Rhinolophus ferrumequinum: one gene and its partners. The protein of the gene in region 3 interacts with the protein of the main gene of each other region in a pairwise test. Links are inferred from orthologs where the notes say so. Each region holds a gene or a part of one and is shown on either strand. Other genes may lie near its edges.

The links. The genes of interacting proteins can lie anywhere in the genome.
Region 1: the proteins of HMG20A (region 3) and BRAP interact in a two-hybrid assay, tested with the Homo sapiens proteins (2 studies listed by BioGRID and IntAct). The link is inferred for Rhinolophus ferrumequinum from reciprocal best matches to the Homo sapiens genes HMG20A and BRAP.
Region 2: the proteins of HMG20A (region 3) and HPCAL1 interact in binary tests that used the Homo sapiens proteins (3 or more experiments, as listed by UniProt). The two-hybrid records come from large-scale screens. The link is inferred for Rhinolophus ferrumequinum from reciprocal best matches to the Homo sapiens genes HMG20A and HPCAL1.

Annotation. Positions count from the first base shown.
Region 1 is NC_046308.1:6,973,571-6,980,599, forward strand, and holds the start of BRAP (BRCA1-associated protein), read right to left. Parts: upstream 3,022-7,029; 5' UTR 2,830-3,021; coding exon 2,748-2,829; intron 988-2,747; coding exon 826-987; intron 1-825. Other genes in the region: ACAD10 (acyl-CoA dehydrogenase family member 10), read left to right, coding at 3,330-3,376, 6,872-7,029. UniProt on the Homo sapiens protein: Negatively regulates MAP kinase activation by limiting the formation of Raf/MEK complexes probably by inactivation of the KSR1 scaffold protein.
Region 2 is NC_046296.1:65,484,262-65,491,506, reverse strand, and holds the start of HPCAL1 (hippocalcin-like protein 1), read left to right. Parts: upstream 1-4,224; 5' UTR 4,225-4,546; intron 4,547-7,245. UniProt on the Homo sapiens protein: May be involved in the calcium-dependent regulation of rhodopsin phosphorylation.
Region 3 is NC_046289.1:100,470,135-100,477,324, forward strand, and holds the start of HMG20A (high mobility group protein 20A), read right to left. Parts: upstream 3,008-7,190; 5' UTR 2,782-3,007; coding exon 2,696-2,781; intron 1-2,695. UniProt on the Homo sapiens protein: Plays a role in neuronal differentiation as chromatin-associated protein. Acts as inhibitor of HMG20B. Overcomes the repressive effects of the neuronal silencer REST and induces the activation of neuronal-specific genes.

The sequences.
Region 1 (7,029 bases), on a different chromosome or scaffold from region 3:
AGAACTATATTAACATGGGGGCTGCTGGATGGCTCAGTTGGTTAGAGCATGAGCTCTCAACGACAAGGTTGTCAGTTCAATTCCCGCATGGGAGGGTGGGCTGTGCCCCCTGCAACTGAGATTGAAAACGGCAACTGGACTTGGAGCTGAGCCACGCCCTCCACAACTAGACTGAAGGACAACGACTTGGAGCTGATGGGCCCTTGGAGAAACACACTGTTCCCCAATATTCCCCAATTTAAAAAAAAAAAAAAAAAAAAGGCCTATATTCACAGAACAGTGTTTGGGGCATCTCAACCAAAAAGTGCTCTTTGCCCCATAAAAGTTTTATTAATAGCCTCAGAAACTCAAGGATGGCTCTTACATTTGTCAGGAAGACAATAAAAGCAGGTGTCTTCCATCACGCACTCCTAAGTGGGACAAACATTCAAGGCTGTTAAGTGTGAAAACCAAACCTCCCAGTTCTAAGCACCTCCATGCTAGAGATGTGCTACCCATCCACTCCTCCGGGTGGAGTGAGCTGGCAGAGCAGGCAGGGAGAGACACACATGCTTATCTGCATTTATGCATGATTTGCCACTGACCTAGGTGGTAAGCAGCTCTCCTCACTGAATAGAGTTGTCAACCCAGCTTGCTAGGATTAATTTAGGAGAAATATTTGGAGAAGCTGAAACGTGGTTCGACAATCTCAGGTAAGGCGGCACACAGTCAGTGAAAGAGAGAAGCATGCTAGAGGGCAAAATCATGGGCTCACTGACTAACATGTAAAACAGGCAACCAGGGGCTTACATTACAAAACAGGGTGTAAGATTTTAGAAAGGATACCTGGGTTGGACTTCATGGTCTCAATGATCATATCTGTCATTTCTCGACGGCCAAGATGCTGATGTATGACTGCTGCTTTCTCCCCTGGTGACTTCCCTTCTAAACAGGCTACAGCTGAAGCTAGTGTCTTCTTTTTGATCTCCTCATCAGACATTTCCCCAGCTAAAGAACACATGAATGATTAATACCTGATAATAAAACGGGCTCCTCTCCACTCTCGATGTACCCACCAATAGGTTTCCTTTTTCTCTCTGCTTCCTTCCCCGAAGATATTAAGATGCCTTTGCAGTGCCCATCTCACTCACCTCTGGGGCTCCTGCAGTACCAAGCAGACAGTCAATAAACACCCAGTGCAATAAATTCAGAAATGCAGGACTGTTCCAGTGAAACGATTCACTTTAAAGCAAACCAATGAGAGTAAGAGCTTAAAGAAAGGTTTGAGAATGATTATACCCAGATGAGCCAACTTTTTTGTAATACCTGGTAAAGTACAACTGTGTATTGAGCCCAAAGGAAGGTATCAAGTCATTATCATTAAAAAGTAAAACTTTCAAAACCCGTTAGGGGTAGTCTACTTAAACCACCTATGTTAACCTCATGCCATGAATTGTATTATGAAAATCGGCAATCACTGTCTTCAATCAGTGAAACACAAAAATGGAAAAGGAATTTGGAGACTCAACTGAAATACCCTTAAGATAAGTTCTATCAGGGCAGGGACAAGGCCTACTTTGCCCACCACTTACACCACAGTGCCTAGCACACACTGGAAGCTTTTTAAAGATTTACTGAATGACCAAATGAATCAATGACCCACCCATGTAGAAGTGTGTATGTGGCAAATGAGGACTTGGCTGACTTTCAGAACTCAGAGATCACTTTTAGCCTTTGGAAAGTGTCCATCGTAACTCATTAAATCATATTCAATCTTTACTTTGCAGCTCTAAAATTCACATACTCGGGAAAGTTTCCAATGACACCATCCCTACGGGCTCTAGTTCCCCTCCCCAAACCAAACACATCCTCTTGTAATAGTTCTCCACACTGTTTCTTTCTTACCTTCACAGCACGTACCACACTTCTAATTCTACCTTTATTTTGTAACTCATCTGTCTTCCCCAATGAACTGCCGGGGCCAATAAAGCAGGGATTCTGATCCTGCACACAACTAAAGCTCCGGCAGACAGTAGCATTCAACAAGTATTTCTTGAATGAATGTTGTCAGGTAATTGTTTGAGGAACAGTCATAGCTGCCTTTCTCTCCTAAGGAGGTTGTGTGGCCGGTAAGGAACAGCTCCGACTCTTCAAGTCCAGCTCTCTGAATCAGAATCCCAGTTTCACCACTTACAGATAATCGTGGGCAACTCATTCAATCACCTGGCTTCAGTTTCCCAATTTGTATGTAAAAAGGGGCATCTACCCATGTAACCTAATAAGAGTTGTTAATTAAAGACAAGACGCACAGGTACAGAGCTGGGATACAGGAAATGCACAAATGTGAATTATTAATGATCGCTATTGTTACAAGAAGCCTGAGTGAATACATTTTCAAAGAGGAACGATTTAATTAAACCAAGGACCCTCATCGTCGCTGAAATCCAGTCCCTGCCTTCACAAAGCCAAGAGGAAAACAACTTACAAAACTCGACTGTAACCCAGGGCGGAGGCGACGCGCCAGGTAGAAACAGAGTGCCCGTGGGAAGGCACCAAGAGGGAGGGACCGGGAAGGGCGTCCCAGCGTCCACACCTGGGAAGGCCTCTTCAGGAAGGATGGAGTGAGAGGGAACCGGCCCCCTCTTTGCTTCTTCCCGAAGAAACAGCTCTCGCCGAGGCCTTTCCCGGAGCCCGTACTTTAGGAGGACCAGCTCCCCCCGGGGCCCAGGCGCGAGCAACAGGGAAGGCGGCGAGGCCGCGGGACTTACCCGCGGCGCTGAAGCCGAAGCCGGCGGGGACGGGCGAGTGTTCTGCGAGCTCCAGACGGATAACAACCAGTGACACACTCATAGGGCAGGCGCTGGCCGGCGCGGGCCCCGGCGGGCTCAGGAGAGGCTGGGACGCGAGCCGACAGGCCGAGCGGCCCGGTGTGAGCAGCGCCGCCGCCACCACCTCAGCGCCACTGCCGCCGCCTCAGCAGCAGCAGCAGCAGATCCTCGCACAACCCTCAGCGCCACAACAACTTCCACTTCCGCCTCCCGGCCGCCGTCGCTGACCCGCAGGGTTACGCATGCGCAGACCAGCACGCGCCCTGATTGGCTGGGGTGGAAGTGAGTCTGAGCCTAAACCTGCCTGACGGGATCGGGAGCAGGTTGGGAAGGAGGGACGCCGCGGGCCCTGTTAGGCCGATCGGTAGGTGTGCGCCCTGGTCTCGCCTTCAGCCTGTCTCAGCAGACGGCGGAACGTCTCCGTCCCCGCGAGTTCTCCTAATGGTCCGAGAAACCCGCGCTCAGTCGAGAGCCCTTGTGCCTTTCTGTTTTATTTGACCGCTAGCTCTAGCTCAAGGCTGGATGCTTTGTGTCAGCCCCACTTTACAGATAGGTTCGCTGAGACTCAGGTAAATGCGCTTCTCTGAGGGCCCGCGGGGAGTAAGGACTGGATTGCAGTGTCTCCATCGCTGTTAGGGTAGGGCGGTGGGTTTGTTAAGTGTCCAGTGCTGGAGATAGATCTGGGTCCTACTCCCGCCCCATCACTTCACAAACGTTTACTGAGAGCCTAGTCATTGTTGGTGTGGTGAGGAAGTGACCTGGGAGCGGACCCTTCTCGGCGCCCTGTCCAGGTTCTTGGTATCTCCAGCAAAGAATTGAATGAGACACAGAAATACACTGGTGAAAGAGCAGTTTATTAGAAGTGCAAGTACACTCCAAAGAGAGATAGGAGTGGGCCTGAGCCACAGAGTGGCTCAAAAGGCGCTGACTGGTGAGGACTTGGAGTTTTTATTTCCTTCTCTTCTAGAATGGGCTGCTCCTCTCTAATTGTGGGGCTGCTTGGTTGATACCTGTGATTGATAATGGCTAATGGTTATGGTAAACAAGGGCAAGTTTGGGCGGAGAGCCGAGGTCTTTTGGGTGGTTATTTCTTGTAGACTGTTGGAAGTGGAGGAATGTTACCTGCTGTATCCAGGTGTCTCAGAGACCCAATTCCTGCCTCTAACAGCCTGCTTTATGTCCCCCATGAGAGATGTGATCCCGGTAAGTCTCTGTGGGACATTGAGGAACAGGAGATCTCTTCTGTATCTGCTTCCTGCTGAATGTGGCCGTTGTCCCTGCCTATTGGGGATTCACGGGACTCTCGCCCTATCTGATCTTAGATGAGGGTAAGGGATCTTGGGATCCACCTGGAGGACTATGTTGACCTCTGTGGTCAGAATGTACTGGAAGTCTTGGTGGGGCATCCTAATGGACCCGACATGAGGAGAGATAGATTTTAGTTAATAGAGTTAAAAGTGTTGGTCCAACGAGCAGGACAGAAAGCCACTGACGCAGGGAGACTGTGTGACGAATAATTTGTTCAGCTTCATGGAGCCTGTGGTCTTTCTTCTGGTTTAATCGGTCATTCAGTTATTGTTTACCCAGGAGGTAGGCCTGGAAAGAACGCTCTGCTACAATGACAATAATCAACAAGATAAATCACAACAAGCATAAATCACAAGATTTAGGGGACTTAAAGGAGGGGGTAGGATATTTCTATGATTCAAGTTAAAAACAATCTATTGTTTACGATTAAGAAACTGATTTGAGAAATGATTCCAACCAGGGACTAGGGAGCTAAGACATTAGGGAAAAGGAGACTTAAAGTTTTTATAGTGAGGAGGCTCTCCAGTATCACTTCTGTATTTCTGCCTGACTTGTGAATTCCACATGATATAAATATGAGGTCTGACAAGTAAGTTCCTGAACTCATCCTAGAAAAAGTGCTACATACCTCATGGCTGAATATCACTTCTGTCACCTTTGAAGTATGCCCCTTGGGAAGCTACGCACTGATGCCAGCACCTCATCCACCCTTCAAAGCAATGTTGGAACTCTTTTTCTGGAATGGCCATCAGAGCAGTCGTCGTATTACCCTTGATGTCCTGAAAGTCATCCAAATGTCTTCTTTTCAATATTTCCTTTATCTTCCAGTAAAGAAAGAAGTCACTGGGGGCCAGATCAGGTGAGCAGGGAGGGTGTTGCAATACAGTGATTTGTTTACTGGCTCAAAACTCCCTCACAGACAGTGCCGTGTGAGCTGATGCATTGTCGTGATGCAAGAGCCATGAATTGTTAGGGAAAAGTTCAGGTCGTCTAACTTTTTCATGCAGCCTTTTCAGCACTTCCACATAGTAAACTTGGTTAACTGTCCAGTCGGTACAAATTCATAATGAATAATCCCTCTGATAGCAAAAAGATTAGCAATATCATTGCAACAAGTTTGTGAACTTAATTGTCAGACCTTGTATGTGTGTGTGTTGTGTATGTTTTTTCCTGAACCTTTTGAAAGTAAGTTTAGAAAAGAGGCAATGGAGAACAAGAGGCCATTGCAGTGATGGTCTGAAGGCGGGATGATGGTGTGACGGTGGCATCCTTGTTTCTAGGAGGAGGTGAATACAGGGTATCTTAGGAATATACAGGAAAGACTCCTCATCTGTCTTTTCTGGTAGCCAGAAGAGGTTTCAGGAAGGAAGTGACAGGTAAACTACCACCTACAGGACAGTTTGGAGTTAGCCAGGTTACAGGTGGAAGGTAGCTTCCTAGGCCAAGAAAACAGCATATGAAAGGCCTAGGAGCAGGAGGAGAATATTGTTTCAGGAAGGTGCATGTAGATTTATTTGTCTAGATCATCCAGGTTAAGGTGTAGAAAGAGGGGACACAGATCTTAAAGGTCCTTTTCAGTCAGGTTCAGGAAGTTTATCATAAGAGTAATGGGTCTCGTGGTGTGGAATTAACCCCTGGTCATTCACAAAAGGTGAAAGCATTCACACAAAACACACAAAGTGGGAAAGAAGAAAGGTTTTATTATTAAAGTTAGGAAGAGAGAAAGTGCCCTTGGCAGTGTCCAAAGATGTCGGCTGCCACAGGCTGTAAGGAGAGAAACAGGGGCGGGGGGGTGTAGGAGGGAGGGTGTCGCCAGGGCAGAGTCCGGAGTCTGAGAGTGGGCTGCTGCACTAACTTCAGGTTAGCTTTTCCTTATATAGGAAAGTGGGAGTCGGTCAGGCAGGTCTGAGGGCTGACATCCTTCCTGGGGTCTGGTCTGTTTGGAGACGATGTTAGCTCTGGACTCAGCCTTGGCCCTTGCGACTGTGCATCACCAGTAAAACCTGCAAGAAGTTGTAGATGGGATTCCAGTGTCCCAGTGCCTAAGGATTAAGAAACTGCTCTTTTCAGGTTAGGATGTTGTTAATTAACAAGGTACGGGTAGCCTGAGGAAAGGCACAGAGTTCTTCAGTCAATCAGTGAGGGGAGAAGCAACGAGAAAACAGATGAGTATCAGGATGGATCAAACTGCAAGCAAACTAAGTCTAATGACAGGTGGCTAGATAGTGAGCTATGCGGTGAGTGAAGTTGGAAACTAGCTAAGTTTAACTGCGCTATTGATTCCCTGAATTTCACCCTCACAATGGGGAGCCATAGGAGGTTTCAAACTTGCAGTGTTGAAAGATTCCTCGGTTGAAGAGTGAAGGAAAAATGAGGAGGTTCAAGAAGAGGCGAGCGGGCCGTTTAGGAGGCTGTTGCCATGATCTGTGGGTGAGGTCATGGCAGTGAGAGCGGAGAGAGGTAGTAGAGATTTTCAGGAGGAAGAACTGAGCAACTGGAGTTGAGGTTGCCGGGTGGGGACTCAGGGACATCAGGGGCGAATCCCAGTTTTCCAGCTTGGGCAGTTAGGTGACTGGTGGAGCCTTTTACTGAGCTATGGACCCCAGAAGGAGTAGTCAAGGAGGGCAGAGATACCGAGTTTAATTCCGGTTGTGGTTTGAAGCGTTGGAGGTCAGTGGAGATGTCCAGTTGGCACCCCTGAGCTCCAGGGGGGGAGTCTGGATTGGAGGCAAACTGCCCTGTGCCTTCTCACGCAGCCTTGGCCACAACATGTGCATAAGGCGGCTTTTCCAGTCCCCTCTCCAGTGGGCTTGGAGGGCAGCCTTCCTGAAACACAACCAGTGCAGGCACCAGGCAGCCCGGCGATGGACTCGTTCTGGAGGCGGCCCCTACAGAGCGGTGATTTTTGACATGG
Region 2 (7,245 bases), on a different chromosome or scaffold from region 3:
CTGCTCAAGGAACAAAATAAGGTCCTAAAAGACCCTGGTCCTGAGGACAGGGTCCTAGGAGCCCAGGCCTTGAGATTAGAGACGGGCAGCAGGGCAGATGGGGTGGGAACTAGAAGATGAGAAGACACACAGGGCATGTCTTAGCTTGGGCTGCCACAACAAAATACCTTAGACTAGGGGGCTGACTTAACCACCAGACATTTATTTCTCAGAGCTCTGGCATCTGGAAGTCCGAGATTAGGTGCCGACTAACTTGGAATCTGGTGAGGACTCTCTTCCGGGCTTGCAGATGGCTGCCTTCTCGCCGTGTCCTCACATGGTCTTTGTGGAGAGAGCGAGCAATCTCATTCTCTCTTCCTCTTCTTGTAAGGCCACTGATCCTATTGGGTTAGGACCCCACCCTTATGAACTCATTCAACGTTAATCTCCTCCTAAAGGTCCCATCTCCAAATACAGGTACAATGGGGGTTGTTAGAGCTTCAGTGGACGAATTTGGAGTAGGGACACAAGTCAGTCTCTTTGCTCTAGGAGATGGGACACTCTAGTTTATCTTGACCCCTGGAGCTTTCAGGGACGAACCAGGAAGGGGATCCATCAGAATGTGCCTCTGAGTCACACTTCCTGAGTGACCCATGAGCCACATCTGCTTCAAGGGCCATCACAAACACTGTTGGACCTCAGGGATAAGCCAGATGGTCTAATGATCCAATTTCCCCACCTCTGACCCTTCTACTGATGCAAGGCAGGATCCAGAGACTCTTGCCACCGGTGCTGCCAGCGTGTTCTCTGGCTGTTTCCTCTGCTTTGAGCTTTTGAGGTCAGGGGAAAGGCGGGCAGTCAGAGGTGCCACCCTACCCTACGGGAGCATCGCCCACTCTATTCCCGGCAGCCACACTTCTCCCCTCTGTAATTACAAATGGCATAGTGACAGAATCAAAAGAGGATCTGGAAACCAGCAGGCCTTCACTTCCTCAAACATTTGGGGGCAAGGCTTTGTGAGCTAAAAGCACGTTTTTGAAAGATCCTCCCTGGTAGGATACACAATCAAGTTTAGCAAATGATTTTTTTAAATAGTATTTTTTTCCAAAGCCCGTATGGGCCCAGCACAGTGACATCAAGTCTGGCATTTAGATCTGGCTGTCACTGATTCTCATATGTGACCCTGGGCATTTCACTTCTCCAAGCATAGGTGTCCTCATTTGTAAAAGGTGGAAATAATTGCAAGAATGTTGGAGGCTGTATATGGCAAAGTGCTTCAAAAACAATATCATAAAACTAAGTCAGATATTATTAATAATCAGAGTCATACCTGCCTCTAGGTGTTTACAGCCATCGTGTGGAAGACAAATTGTATATATAGCATGGCATCTGTTATGTGGTGAATTGTTCCCCCATACAGATGTTGAAGGCCTAACCCCTGGTACCTGTGAATGTGACCTTGTTTGGAAATAGGGTCTTTGCAGATGATCAAGTTAGGAAGAGGTCATTAGGGTGGGCTCTAGTCCAATGTAACTGGTGTCCCTATAAAAAGGGGAAATTTGGACACAGAGACACACACAGAGGGAAGACAATGGGAAAACATAGGGAGGAAACAGCCATCTACAAGCCAAGAAATACTCACGGCTACAGAAGCTGGGGAGAGGCCTGGAGCAGATTCTCCCTCCCAGCCTCAGAACGAACCAACCCTGCTGACACCTTGATCTTGGACTTCCAGCCTCCAGAACTCTGAGACAATAAACGTCTGCCGTTCAAGCTGCCCAGTTCGTAGTGCTATGTTACAGCAGCCCCAGGAAACTAATACAACACCCTACCCTGAATTTGCTTTCTTACTTTCTCTGGCTTATTAAATGCCACCGAACTTACTGAGTCACCACTATATGCTCTCCCTCCACTAAGCTTCATAAGGGGTTTACAGTCTTTGTTCTGAAGGTGCACTAGACACAAAAAGGAAGACAGCAGGTTGTGTCTCATCTGAGGGAGACACATGCTTTCTTCAGAAGTTCAGAGGAGAGAGAAGTATAATACATGTGAGCGGAGAGGCTGGAGGGCCAGGTGACAGCTGAACTGAGTCTTGAGGGATAGGTAGGTTCCAGATTGGTGGGGAGAGAGGGAGAGTCAGGCCAGTGAGAGAACAGCCCAGCAGCCCGGGCACGGAGATCAGTGTGAGAGGCAGGGTCCAGGAACACGCTCCATCTGTTTTTGTGGTCTCCCTGAGCTTTCTTACCATCCACACTGCCTCTCGCCTGTGTCTACTATGCTCTCCCCTCCTCATCTTTTAAGGCTCAGCAAAACTGTCACCTGCTCTGTGAGTCTTTCCTGACCCTCTCCCCATGAGCTGGGTTTGCAGGGGGTCATATAGCTCAGGCCTCGAGGACAGTAATTGTCGTGCTTTGTGTGGACATCTGCTGCTCTGTGACTGAGTGTGGGAGAAGTGTGCCCTGTTTCTGTGGCAGAGACATCGCAATGTGCTCAGCAAAGCGACTGTTTTCTCCTGGTCACACAGGAAAACTGCAATTCCCAGACCCCTAGCCTCCAGGGACTGGGTGATTAATTCTGATCAGTGAATTCAGGCAGAAGTGATGTGCACGCCCCTCCAGGCTTGGCTTCTAATGACCAGGGGACCCTAGCTAGCGCTTGCTTCTTGCTGTGGGCTGGAAGTCGAGGGGTCAGTGGAGGTTTGGAAGCACTGAAGGAGAGTGGTGGAATCTCTAGATGGAAGATGCTGGGGTTGCTGAACACCTATGTGGAGTCTTCCCCACACCCTCCGACCTGCACTGAAGTGGGATCAGATGGGTGACCACAGCAGAATATAAACTACCCCTGCTAACCACCTGGCTGATGGGCCTGGTCTGGGCACCTGATGGAAGGCTCCTTACCTGGAACCCTATCCTCTGCGTGGATATGCTACAGAAAGCCAAGCAATGACCTTGGCCACTGGTCTACGCTGGGAAGGAAAGAGGGTAGCCCAGGTGCCAGAGCTGGCTCCGTAAGGCAGCACCAAGGTCAGTGCTGCTGATGCCCATGGTCCTTGTTGCATGTAATCCTCACAGCAGGGCTGGCTAGGAGACCAACTCCCTCTGGGTTTGGTTTTACCCTCTGCCTGAAGAGAGAGGCGTCTGGACCCAGACCACCTCGCCTGCCAGCCCCCAGCCAATTCCCCCTCAAAGCCGCCCACCACCGGTTTTTATCTGCAGCCTCCTGTGTAGTGGGAGTTCACTCACCGTGTTTTTGTGGAGGAGGATTGAGTTTTTCCCTAGAGACGCTAGAAAGACAGTTTGTCTCAGTCTAACACTAACGCCCAGCTCCACATTTTTGGCTGTTTCTGTGGTTACCTTTCTTCAGGGATGTTTGGGGTGGGTGGTGGTGGTAGTGGTATATATTTTATTTTCTAAGGCCTGGATTTTCAGGAGCTGCTGGGCGAGGAGTCCCTGATTCTTGCCCTCTCGCGCAGGTGCCATCGTCAGGGAATAGAGGAAGTCTGCAGGAAACACGGTCTGCCTCTCCCAGGAGGCCACGTGTCCCTGGGATTATCTCAGTGACTTCAACCAAGCCCCTTTCTCAGCAGAGACTGAAGACTCACAGCACATCAGGGAGGGAAGGGCCGGAAGAAGCCAGCTCCTCCCGTCCATTTTATAGATGGGGGAACGGAGGTCAGAGAGTCTAAGGGGCCTGCCCAAACCGCCTGGAATTAGCGAGGTCAACCAGAACCCAAGGCAGGTCTCCCTTCTCCCGGCCCCTGGCTCCTTCCCTGAAGAAGGCGAGGGAAGTTTGGTGGTATCTGCTCACCGGACGGGCGTTGGCGGTGACACAGAGGGGCATAGCAAGCGGACTAGGGCGACTCAGGCTCTTCCCCTTCTGGGCAACACGGGCCCCATTTCCTGCCGAGGACTCGGGAGGCGGGGAAACGGGCACCCGGCCGATCCCTCCCGGGCGCCGCCTCCCAACCTCTCCCACACCCGCAGGCCAGAGGCCAAGGGTTTGGGAGGTGGAACCGGTGCTCGGCTCCTCCCCTCACCCAAAATTCCCGCGGGCTGGGACCGGGTCAGAGCCGCGGCTTCGCCCGGGGTGCGCTAAAGGAGAGCTAGGGACCAGCGTGGGACGGGCCAGCAGGAGGCGTGGCCAGAGATGAGGCGTGGCCAATATGGGGGCGTGGTTGAGGAGGGAGCAGTCCGTAGGAAACTTGAGCGCCCGCCCCCAGCCACGCGCCCCGCCCCCGGCCCCGGCCTCCGGGCCCCGCCCTCGCGTTCCTTCCTTCCCGAGGCTGGCAGGCGGGTCGCGTCGGCTGCAGGCGGCGGACCGGCAGACCGGCAGACGGGCGGGCACCTCTACCTCGCTCTCTCCCTCGCTGCTGGCTTCCTTTTGTCTTTCTCGGCGGCGATGAGCGCGGGGCCGGCGCGAAGGCTGCGGGCGCAAGGAGGCCCGCGCTCCTAGCCACACTTCCCGGTCTCGGCGTGCTTGTCCGGGGCAGCGGCCCGCGCCTGCTCCAGCGCGGCGGCACCGAACTTGGGCTCGGGAAGCCGGCTGACCGCGTCTTGCGCGGGAGCAGGTAGGGAAGGGGCGGGCTGCAGGTCTGCGGGGAGTGCGCGGCGTCCGCTGCGATCCGGCTCTCTGCGTGTGTGTGTGTGTGTGTGTGTGTGTGTGTGTGTGTGTGCGTGTGTGCGTGTGTGTTGGGTGGGGGTGCCTATGTTTATTTCTCTGTGCGGTGGAGTTGTGGGTGACTGAGGGCGGTGGTGTGCCCCTGGAATGGGGTGTCCTTTTGGGGATCTGTGTGTGCACCTTTTGGGCTGCGTTTGTGCAATTGTGTGTCGAGGCTTAGTTGCTGGTGGGGACTACGGCGGGGCGGGTGTCGAGTGTGAGCGGCTGTGCGTGGGGCGGGAGGGGCGGGGTGGGCGTGGGCGGTCCAGCCCTGCGCGGGATCCCGGCTCGCGGGGGGCTGGAGCAGTGCGGAGCTCCAGAGCCCTGGAGGTACAGCTGGGATCCCGAGGGCTAGCGCGGGCTCCGGGAGCACCTTAGGCTAGTCCCGCCCGGGGGCAGGTCCACGCGGCCCACGTGGATCGCCTTTTCACTTTGGCTGTGGGAGAGGACCCGCACGACGGCCATCCGCTTCTTCCTTCCGGGGCGGAGGGGCGACGGACAGAGCCCTTTTCTCGAGTTAGGAGCCCTGGCGTCTCTGTGACCCGCACTGGACCAGATACACCACCTTCCCGGGTCGCGATTTGCTTGTCTATCAAATAGGGACAGTTGCTCCCTCAGGGTCTGTCGTGACAGCTAAAATGATCGCTCTTGACCAAGTGCCTGACACATAATAGGTGCTACGTTAATTGGATCGGAGTCTCCCTCTTCTTTTAATCTTTTTTTTCTTTATCGTGGGTAGGGCTCTTACATTCTGCCCCCAAGACCCCACCGCGCGTGTTTTGTGCTTCTCTCCGGGTCCTAACTTACCCGCGAAGCACCGAGATTCGAGAAAGTTTCGGCTGCTGGGCGCTGCCTCCTCGCCGCACGTCCTGGGCGACGCCGCCTCGGGTGTGCAGGAGAGCGCAGCACAGCACCCGGCGCGGGCCCTTCTCTAGCAAAGGCTCCTGCGCCGGAGCGGGACCCCTCTCCTGGGCAAGGCAGCGGCTGCGGGGTCGGGAGCCCTTTTGTTCAACAAGTGCCTAGTCCCCGGGGCGTGCAGCTTGTGGAATTTGAGAGCCACGGTGTGAAAGTGGCGCTCCCCGCAGGGACAGATCTTGGGCTCTCAGGGCGTCCCGGCTGGGCCTGGTCAAAGTGAAGGCCACCCCCTTTGCTCCCCGCAGATACCGGTTCCCCCTAGAGGAGGATGTTTGCCAGGACCGCTAGTCCTGCCTTGGGCCTCCGCATTGGACGCCCTCCGACCCCACCCCCACCCCTCCCTCTCCGCTCCCTTTGATGGCCTCACTCAGGAGGAAGAGGGTCTGCTGGGACCCTGCCTCATAGTCCCACAGCTTAATTTTAAAAATGCTTAGTTTTGAAACCTGCTACTGGTGACATTGAACTGCGGTGAATGTGCACACAGCTCCAACCATGATGCACTCCGGGAGAGTCCTGCCAACAGCACCATAGCACTTCCTCGGACCCAGCAGGGTGAGCTGGCCCCGCTGCCCTACCGCCTTCTGTCAGAGTCAGGGAATCCTTCCTTCCATCTCTGTGGTTTCTGCCTCCCAGGACCCTTCCCAGTCTGAACAACAGATAACCTTTCACCAAGAGAGCAGCTGACCTCACCGTGCAGGAGGCTCTCAAAATGGAGCTGGCGTAGAAAGGGGCAGGGGCATGGGGTCTGTGGGCCTGGCTGCCTCTGGGTCTGGGCTTCGTTTCCCAGTGTCAGGTGCTCCTGCTGGTGTTCTCAGGAAAGCTGGAATACTCTGCAGGCTTTTAGGACACAGGAGCAGAAACCTCTGGTTGGGATCCTCAGGTTTGTCTTCTGCCAGTAGGTAAGCCCTGAGATCTCTGCAGTGACGGCAGGCCGGCGGAACCAAATAAGCTAAGTTTTCATCCTGATTTGGTGTCAGGGGCACATTTAGAATGCAGCCTGTTCCATAAAATGATTTTATACACTAGAGGAGAAAGGGCTTTTGATTTTCATCCTCCTCTTCCCCATAATCAGATTCAATAATAATTAAAAAAAAAAATTAGTCTGGCTTTCTCAGAAGACAGATCAAAAACTGTTTCTCTCCCTGGTTGAAACCAGCTCTTTGTCTCAAGCAAACCAGTGTTTTGGCCCTAGATTTATTTCTGTTTCACTTTTGAAAGTGCCTGTAATTACTGAGCTCCTGAGGTTTTATTGGATAATATGCCAGAGAGAAGGCCCCGGGGCTCTGCCTCTCACTTGCTGCTGGTACCTGATCTAGCCTTGCCTGCTCCCTTTGGGCTCCACTTTTATGCCTTTTGTAAAGTGGAGAATAGATGTCAACGTGTGAGAATTTGGGAGACTTGGCATTGGGAATCAGATGCCCCGAAGGTCATTTGACTTATAGAAAAACAAGAATAAGTCAAAACCCGAGAAAACCAGAGATTCGCCCAAACTTAGCCAATGACCCAGTCATTTCCAACAAGCCCTGGTAGAAGAGAGACTCCAAGAGAAATAGAAGATTTTGGACAGATTCCGTCAGAACTCATCTTAATGCCCCCTTCTGGCCACAGGCCTGTGGAATAAGGACCACATGGACAGGAGTGGACTCCCTGGGTGTACGCCCCCCAGCTGGTGCCTCGAATGGTACCCAGCTTTCC
Region 3 (7,190 bases):
GTCCCTAATACAGTGATTAGCACACAGTAGGCCCACAGTAAACTTTTGTTGAAATCACAAAAAGTCATGTAAGAGGTATTCTCATTTGAACACTCTTGAAGGCCCTGAAGTACAGGTAAAGATTGCAGAGTAATAAGTTTAAAAACCATTCAAAAACCATTCAAGTTATTAGGAGACTCTCTTTAACACTTGACCTCATGGCAAAATCTACTAAAACAACACACGAAAAAGTTATAGTTGTAAAACATTAGTATGATTTTACAAAAAAAGGTAGACAAAAGAATGAAAAGACACTTTTGCATTATATATGGTGTCTAGTGTTTTGTGGCTAATCAAATGTCACTGAGATGAAATACAGAATTTTGACTTACTGCTTTAATATTTCAAACCTCTGTGAACAGTGTATCCAAATGACTGCTTCTGGTTATCTAATCTAAACACTCTAAAAATGGACAAGTTCTTTATTATAGATGGCAACTAATAGAATGAAAATCTCAAATTCATTAACTCAAAGATGTAACAAGAGCACACTTACAAAAGCATTTTTCTAACTTTGATAGTATGGTTCTATTAGAACATGCAAAGAAAACTGCAACAAAAAGCATTAAGAAAAAAAAAAAAAGCCTTTGGGAGATAGCAATCCTCTTCACAGAAACACTTTTAGAGAGAATTAAAAGCAGGTTCGCAGGTTCCATGACTTTCCCTTTATTTTTCACAAGCTTTTCTAGTATTTCTTTTTGGATGGAACCAATGAATAACTACCACTTATCACAAAACATCCTTTCTCAGATATGTGCTTTATATATTGCAATCTTCTGAACAGTTTTTCAAGCTGCTCAAGTCTTTCAACCCCAGCAATTTTTCTTATTTCTATTACACTGCACTTATTCCATGAAACAGCACAGAAACCAATTTAATCAACTTTGCTTTCTTTTTTAAAAAACTTCTTTGCTTTCCGAAGTTTCCAAAAGGCAATACTACTATCTCAATCAATATTTTAACGATGTTTTCTCTTTTTCATTTAGTTCCAATCTTTACTTACTTCAGTAATTCCTAATACTATAGTTTAACAGTTTAATTTGTCAGAATGACCATATCATATTTTCCTCTATATTACAGTAATATAGAAGACAGTGAACACCTTCTCTCTAAGCAATTAATTAATACTTGAGGCAGTCTACATGTCTGTAACCTTATAATGACAACAGACATTTTGTCTTGCCTTTTCAACTACTGCAGAAATGTGGTAGTCTTTAAAAAGATAACTCATTGATTTTTAGGGTCTTAGATCTTTCTTGTCTACAGAAGGTTAAAACATATTTTTTCCCTTTATTGTAACATGTAATTTAAAACATTTTCTAATAAACTCTAAACAAAGTAACTTTTTAAAAGAACTAGAATTAAAATAATTGCAAATTCTGAGGACAGATTAGGTAACAATCTCAAAAGAAAAAAATACACTGGCTTCATTCTTTTAAAAATCCTTGAAGAACATCACAGTTCACTTGATATTCTAAAATTGCTACAGTTGTTGAGATTTCGTAATTTCCAAATAGACTGATTCCTTCGTTATACATCCACCCACCCCAAGTATTGTGGTACTTGAAAACAGAAGCCAAGAAATAAAAATTGTTGAGTGTTCATTCCACTTCACATATAGTTACTTATAAACCATTGATAATATAGGAAACAGAAATTTTTTTCTTAATCATCTTTTGTCCTTTGTGAACCAAATTCCCCCCGCCCCCCACTTAAAATCTGGGCTGAATCTCCTGATTCTTGCACCATGCTTTAAAACCCCAAAGAACAAATAGATACGGCTGTTGAACTGATCTGAATTTAATTAAATCACAAAGGGGGAAAATGTATTCGGCTAACTTTCACAAATGCTACATGTTACAATTATGATTATTTTTAAGTCTGAGGAAGTTGTTCTCAGGCACAGGGCAAACCCTGTAGTCCAAAATCAACAGGTTTAGGAAATTTAAGATACCATATCAATTAAGGCAACACCAAGTATTTGAGTACTTCAGTATGATACTTTCACTCCGGTAAGGTGAACATGCCTCATAATTTATGTAAAATGTCGCGTTCTGTAGAGTTCCTGTGTCATGTCAAGGCAGAGAACACTAAACCTGTCGGTGAAGGTTGGACGTGAGTCGGGGAGCAGAGCTGGACAATTACGAGTTACACAAGAAAGTACAGCATGTCATTTCGCAAAGAGGAGGAGAGAATTTTAACAAATGGTTTCTATTCTTTGGCGAGCGCATTAAGAAAATTTTGTCGGTGAGAAAATTTTCCATCTTACACATTGAAACAAAATTCACATAAATTCTTACTGGAGGCTGGAGATGAGCATAAATTGGTGGAATAATCTAACTTTTCACATAAAACACAATTCCAAACCTTTAAAATACGTGCTGTACTGGCAACAAGCACCACCTTTTCAAGACCTCGCCGGCACAGGAAGTGTGGGAGGGACACCCCCAAATCATCCCCCTACCCCACAGGAAGTGAGTTGTTTCCCCTCCCCCAGGACGGCCTTCTTCCCCTCCCCCAACCGGAAGTGAGGCGCCCCCATTCAGTCGGCCTCAACCCGAGACAAACCAATTAACAACAGCAAAAGAGCGATGGTCTTCAAGGGGTGAAGGGCACCCCCACTGTGGCCACCCCCAAGCTCGCCTTGCTTACTGACCTGCTGACGATAGGGGCAGGCAGGGGCCTGGGGCTAAAGAAAGTCCCTGCACAGAGGACAATTCTCTGAGCCCCTCTCAATCGCATTCACTCTTCTCACTCCGTCGTCTCGCAGCTTGACAAAAAATTCCTCCGCAATACTTTATTATGATATCCTTCTTTCTTTACGTAATTGTTTAACTATCTTCCCATAGGCAACTTCTCTCATCGCAGTAACATTTAAAATTGTTTCGGTAAGGAGAAAAATGAAATACTATTCCCAATACCTTCCGAAAAATGAAGGGATTATTTTGTTCAAAAGCGGCGAAGGACTACGTGACTACGCAAAGCGAGACTTATTTTCGCGAAGGTTTCTGGGAAGTGTAGTTTTTAAGAATTGCTAAGGTCTGCAGTAAGTATTGTAGCTTAAATTGGCAATTACTATCGAATGGAGTCCTTGAAAACACAAGTTTCGTGTTCGACGCAGGCTGACCTAGGAGGCTCCGGCACCAAATGGGCCAATACTTTGTTTCCCTTTTCCTCTAGAACTTACTTGAACCGAAATTTCCCTTCATGCCGGCCCGAGGTTCTGGTCGTCCCGCCCTCCTCCTTTGGTCACACTCTCCTTAGCCAATCAGAAGCCCTCTAGGTCTCATTCTATTGGGGTAGGAACACGAGAAGGCGGGGCCTCACGGTGATACCTCCTGAGGGACGGAGGCGCGACAGGGCAGAGAGGGTCGAGGGCTTGTGCGCGCGTGCGGGCTCGCTCCTCAAGGAGCGCGGCGGCGAGTGCGCGCGCGGAGGGCGGTGCGCGGGGCTGGGAGGAGGCGGGCGGGCTGGCTGGTGGGCTGGGCGGGCGGCCGGGAGCGCGCGGTGGACTCGGCGGCGTCGAGTAGTTAGTTGTTGTTAGTGTCAGTTGGTCGGCGGCGGTGGCCGCGGTGAGCAGGAAGGGGACCGGCCGGCTGGCGATGGTGGTCACCGCGGTGGCGTGTGCGCCCCTCAGGTAACGGGGGCAAGGCTGTCCGCGTCCCCTTCGTCCCCTTCTCCTCTCGCGCCGGCTTGCGGAACCAGGGTCGCCGCGAGGTGAGGGCGCTAACTGGGGGGAATCCGGGCGGGGCAGCGCGGGGTCTGGGGAGCGCCGCCGCGGGGGCTCGGGCGGCGGCCCCGGCGCGGGCTCTGCGGCCCCGGCCAACCCTGCGCCCCCCCGCCCCTGTGCCCCCGGGGCCCGCCGGCACCGCGCGCCCCCTCGCGCCCCTTCCTGCGGCGGTGGCGGCAGCGGCGGCGGCCCCGGTAGCTCGGCGCCCCCCAGAGGAGGGAAAGTTGGGATCTGGCGGCGACGGACGTCTCCGGGCGCGGCTGGGAGCCTGGTGGGGAAAGTGAAGGCTGGATGGGGGAGCTGGCCGGCGGGAGCTTGGGGCAGGAAGGGCTCCCGTCCTCTTGCTAAGTTCGCATGGACGTCTCGCCCCGATCCCCGGAGCACCCGGCGCAGCCTAGCCAGCAGCGCCTGGACGAAACCGGTGGCTCTTTGCCTGCTCACTTGGGGCTGCGGTTTGTGAGCCCCCTAACTAACGTGCGGCTTTGCTTGGTTGGTCGGTTTGTTTCTCCTTTGCCCTTTGACTCATCCCGTTCTTGCAACTTTTCTTACCTCCCGCGATGGGGACTTGCGGTCTGAACCCCCTTCCCACCTCCCTCCCCGTCGCCTGCACCACCCGTCTGAGAGTTGGATTTCGTGTTTCGTCCTTTGGTGACGTTAAAGACTGCTGAGAGCAACAGGAAAGAGGAGCCCTCCCACCTTTAAATGTTACTTTCTTGCAATCCGTTATTATTTTTAAGACCCAAGTTTAGGAATTTGAGAGCTGTGGAATGGAGTTGTTGGAAGGCTGGCGTTTTGACGAATTAAAGGAAAACTAGATTTCATCTTTATTGGCCTTGCTATAGGAAGCCTAATACATTTTCCTTCTGCCTCTGTTAAATATGGTAAGAGTATACGTTAAATTACATATTTGGAGACCAACATACAAGGCTATTTTTTAGGTCATTAGATGATGTATGTCAACAGCTTTTCACCCGAATTGGGATGGCCTTGAGGATTCTGTTTTGGGGCCTACCTACTGATTTTTGTCTACCAAAGTAAATGAAATGATGTAGTAATGTGTGTATTTGGCAAACCCATATTGCTCTCTGCGGTGTGGAAGTTTTACGTGAATTATCCACAGGGGTAAAACTTTCCATGTGCAATCTTGGATACCTGCTTCTTGATGGCTTCCGTAATCTCAGAACATTTCTAGACAGTGCAATTCACTGACTACCTTAATTATTTTCTGAAGTGCTTGGCACTTCTCTTTGGTGACTCGTTTAGTAAACTATAATGGCAAGTAGGGTACATTTTCATGGCTTCAAATATGGAGTTAGAGTCTCAGCCCAGAGATTAACAGTTAACAATGGAAGCAGAATTCATACCATTGCTAGTGAGTTTTGGCTATGACCAACTCACAAACTATGTGAAAAACAAACATCTTTCCATAGCTGTCAGAGGGGAAGAGGAGAGAATATTTTATCATGTCTTTATTTTGGAGACTCTAACATGGCTGTATTATGTGGGAAAAAATGTCAGATTATTTTCTTTAAGGATTTTTGATGTGTGGTCCTCCTCTCCATCCCTCTACCCTCCATTGAGGGGCTGACATTTATGCTTGGCTGGCTTCCAGGAAGCGAAGAAAAGTGTTTTGTTGAAAGGAAAAGATAAGATTGCTTTGAACTATTATACTATGACTATTCATTTTACCCAGTACAAAGAAATGTCCTTGATAATTTTTGTACCCCATTAACATGCTGTCAGAATTCATTTTTAAACATACCCCGAGGCCCATAAGGAAATAATGCCACTTCATAACTGTTCCTGACAATCACATTAAAAAGTTGTTCCTGGAATGTGTTATGCGTGTATTCCTATAAACATTTATCTTTGTATATTTATGGTAATGTAAATATTTAAGTCTGTGAGCTTAAAAACTTTGATTTGCTTATTTGCATACATGTTTTTCAACGTCTAGCAGTACCAACCATATTTGCCAAATAAGCATCAGCCATAAATTCATGCTCTGGCACATTTCATATAGTAACTCTTTGAAATTGCTCCATGGTGAAGCATCATGAGATTAGCATTTCTTCGTGAGAGAGATTTGTTGTTGTTGTTAACTGTAGTGACGTGCTATGTAAGTGGAACAGGTGCGGGGCTCTCGCTGTTTGTGTGGAAACCTGCCAGATCATACTCTTTTGTTGGATGGGTTGTTTAAGTAATTTAGAAACCAAACTGTGGCTCCTGGCATGCCAAGTGTGAGTTCATGGCTCCATATCATTGCTGCAAATACCTATTTTCACTGCAAGAGGCAAGTGTGTGTGATGAACTTTATTTTCTCATTGCTATTCTCTTTACAGTAATTCCTACTTCCCACCATCACCTGAGTCCTTTCATTACTGGAGAGCTCCTGGGAAAGTCGAGGCTCCTTCATTACTGGTTGTTTTCCTTGGGGAAATTCTAGTAACTTTCAGGCCAGGAATTGATAGTTCACATTTGTTTGACACATATTTCGAGTGCCTTTTAAGTGTTAGGCATGGTGGTAGGCCCTGAGTATATGTAGAATGATATCCCTTTTTGCAAGGAGCGTACAGTTTAAGAGAAGATAGCTGATAACCAATAATTACATTGTGATGTGTTGTAGGACAGGTATAAGCAGATTCTTATGGATGGAAGCACAGAGGAGCAAGGGTAGTTGACTAACTACCCACCAAGACTTAGGGTCTTGGTGGCACGAGAGTGTCCTGTAATACTTCTTAGTGGGTTACCTGAGCTAGTCTTCAAAAATTGGAGTTATCTAGGTTCAGAAAGAGGGAAAGGACAGTTTAGAACACCACTGTCCTGAAAAAATACAATACAAGCCACAAATGTAGCTCACGTTATTTAAAAATTTTCTACTAACATTAAAAAAGGAAAAAGAGAAATTAATTTTAAAGACATTTATTTAACCTGACATATCCAAAATATTATCATTTCAACATGTAATCAATATAAGAAAGTATTGAGGTATTTGATATTCACTTTAGTTTTATTTTTCATTTATAGTTGACATTCAGTATTATTTCACATTAGTTTCAGGTGTACAGCATAGTAGTTAGACAATTAATATAATTTACGAAGTGATCCCCTTGATTCGTGCTCACCTGGCACTATACTTAGTTATTAGAATATTACTGATTATATTCCTTATGCTGTACTTTACATTCCCGTGACTATTTTGTAACTACTAATTTGTACTTCTTAATCCCTTCACCTTTTTCACCCATGCTCCTTCCCCCTCCCATATGGCAACCATCAGTTTGTTCTCAGTGAGTCTTTTTTTATTTTGTTTGTTGATTTTGTTCTTTAGCGTCTACATATAAGTGAGCATATATGGTGTTTGCCTTAATTTGTCTGAATTATTTCACTTAGCATAATACCCTCTAGGTCCATCCATGTT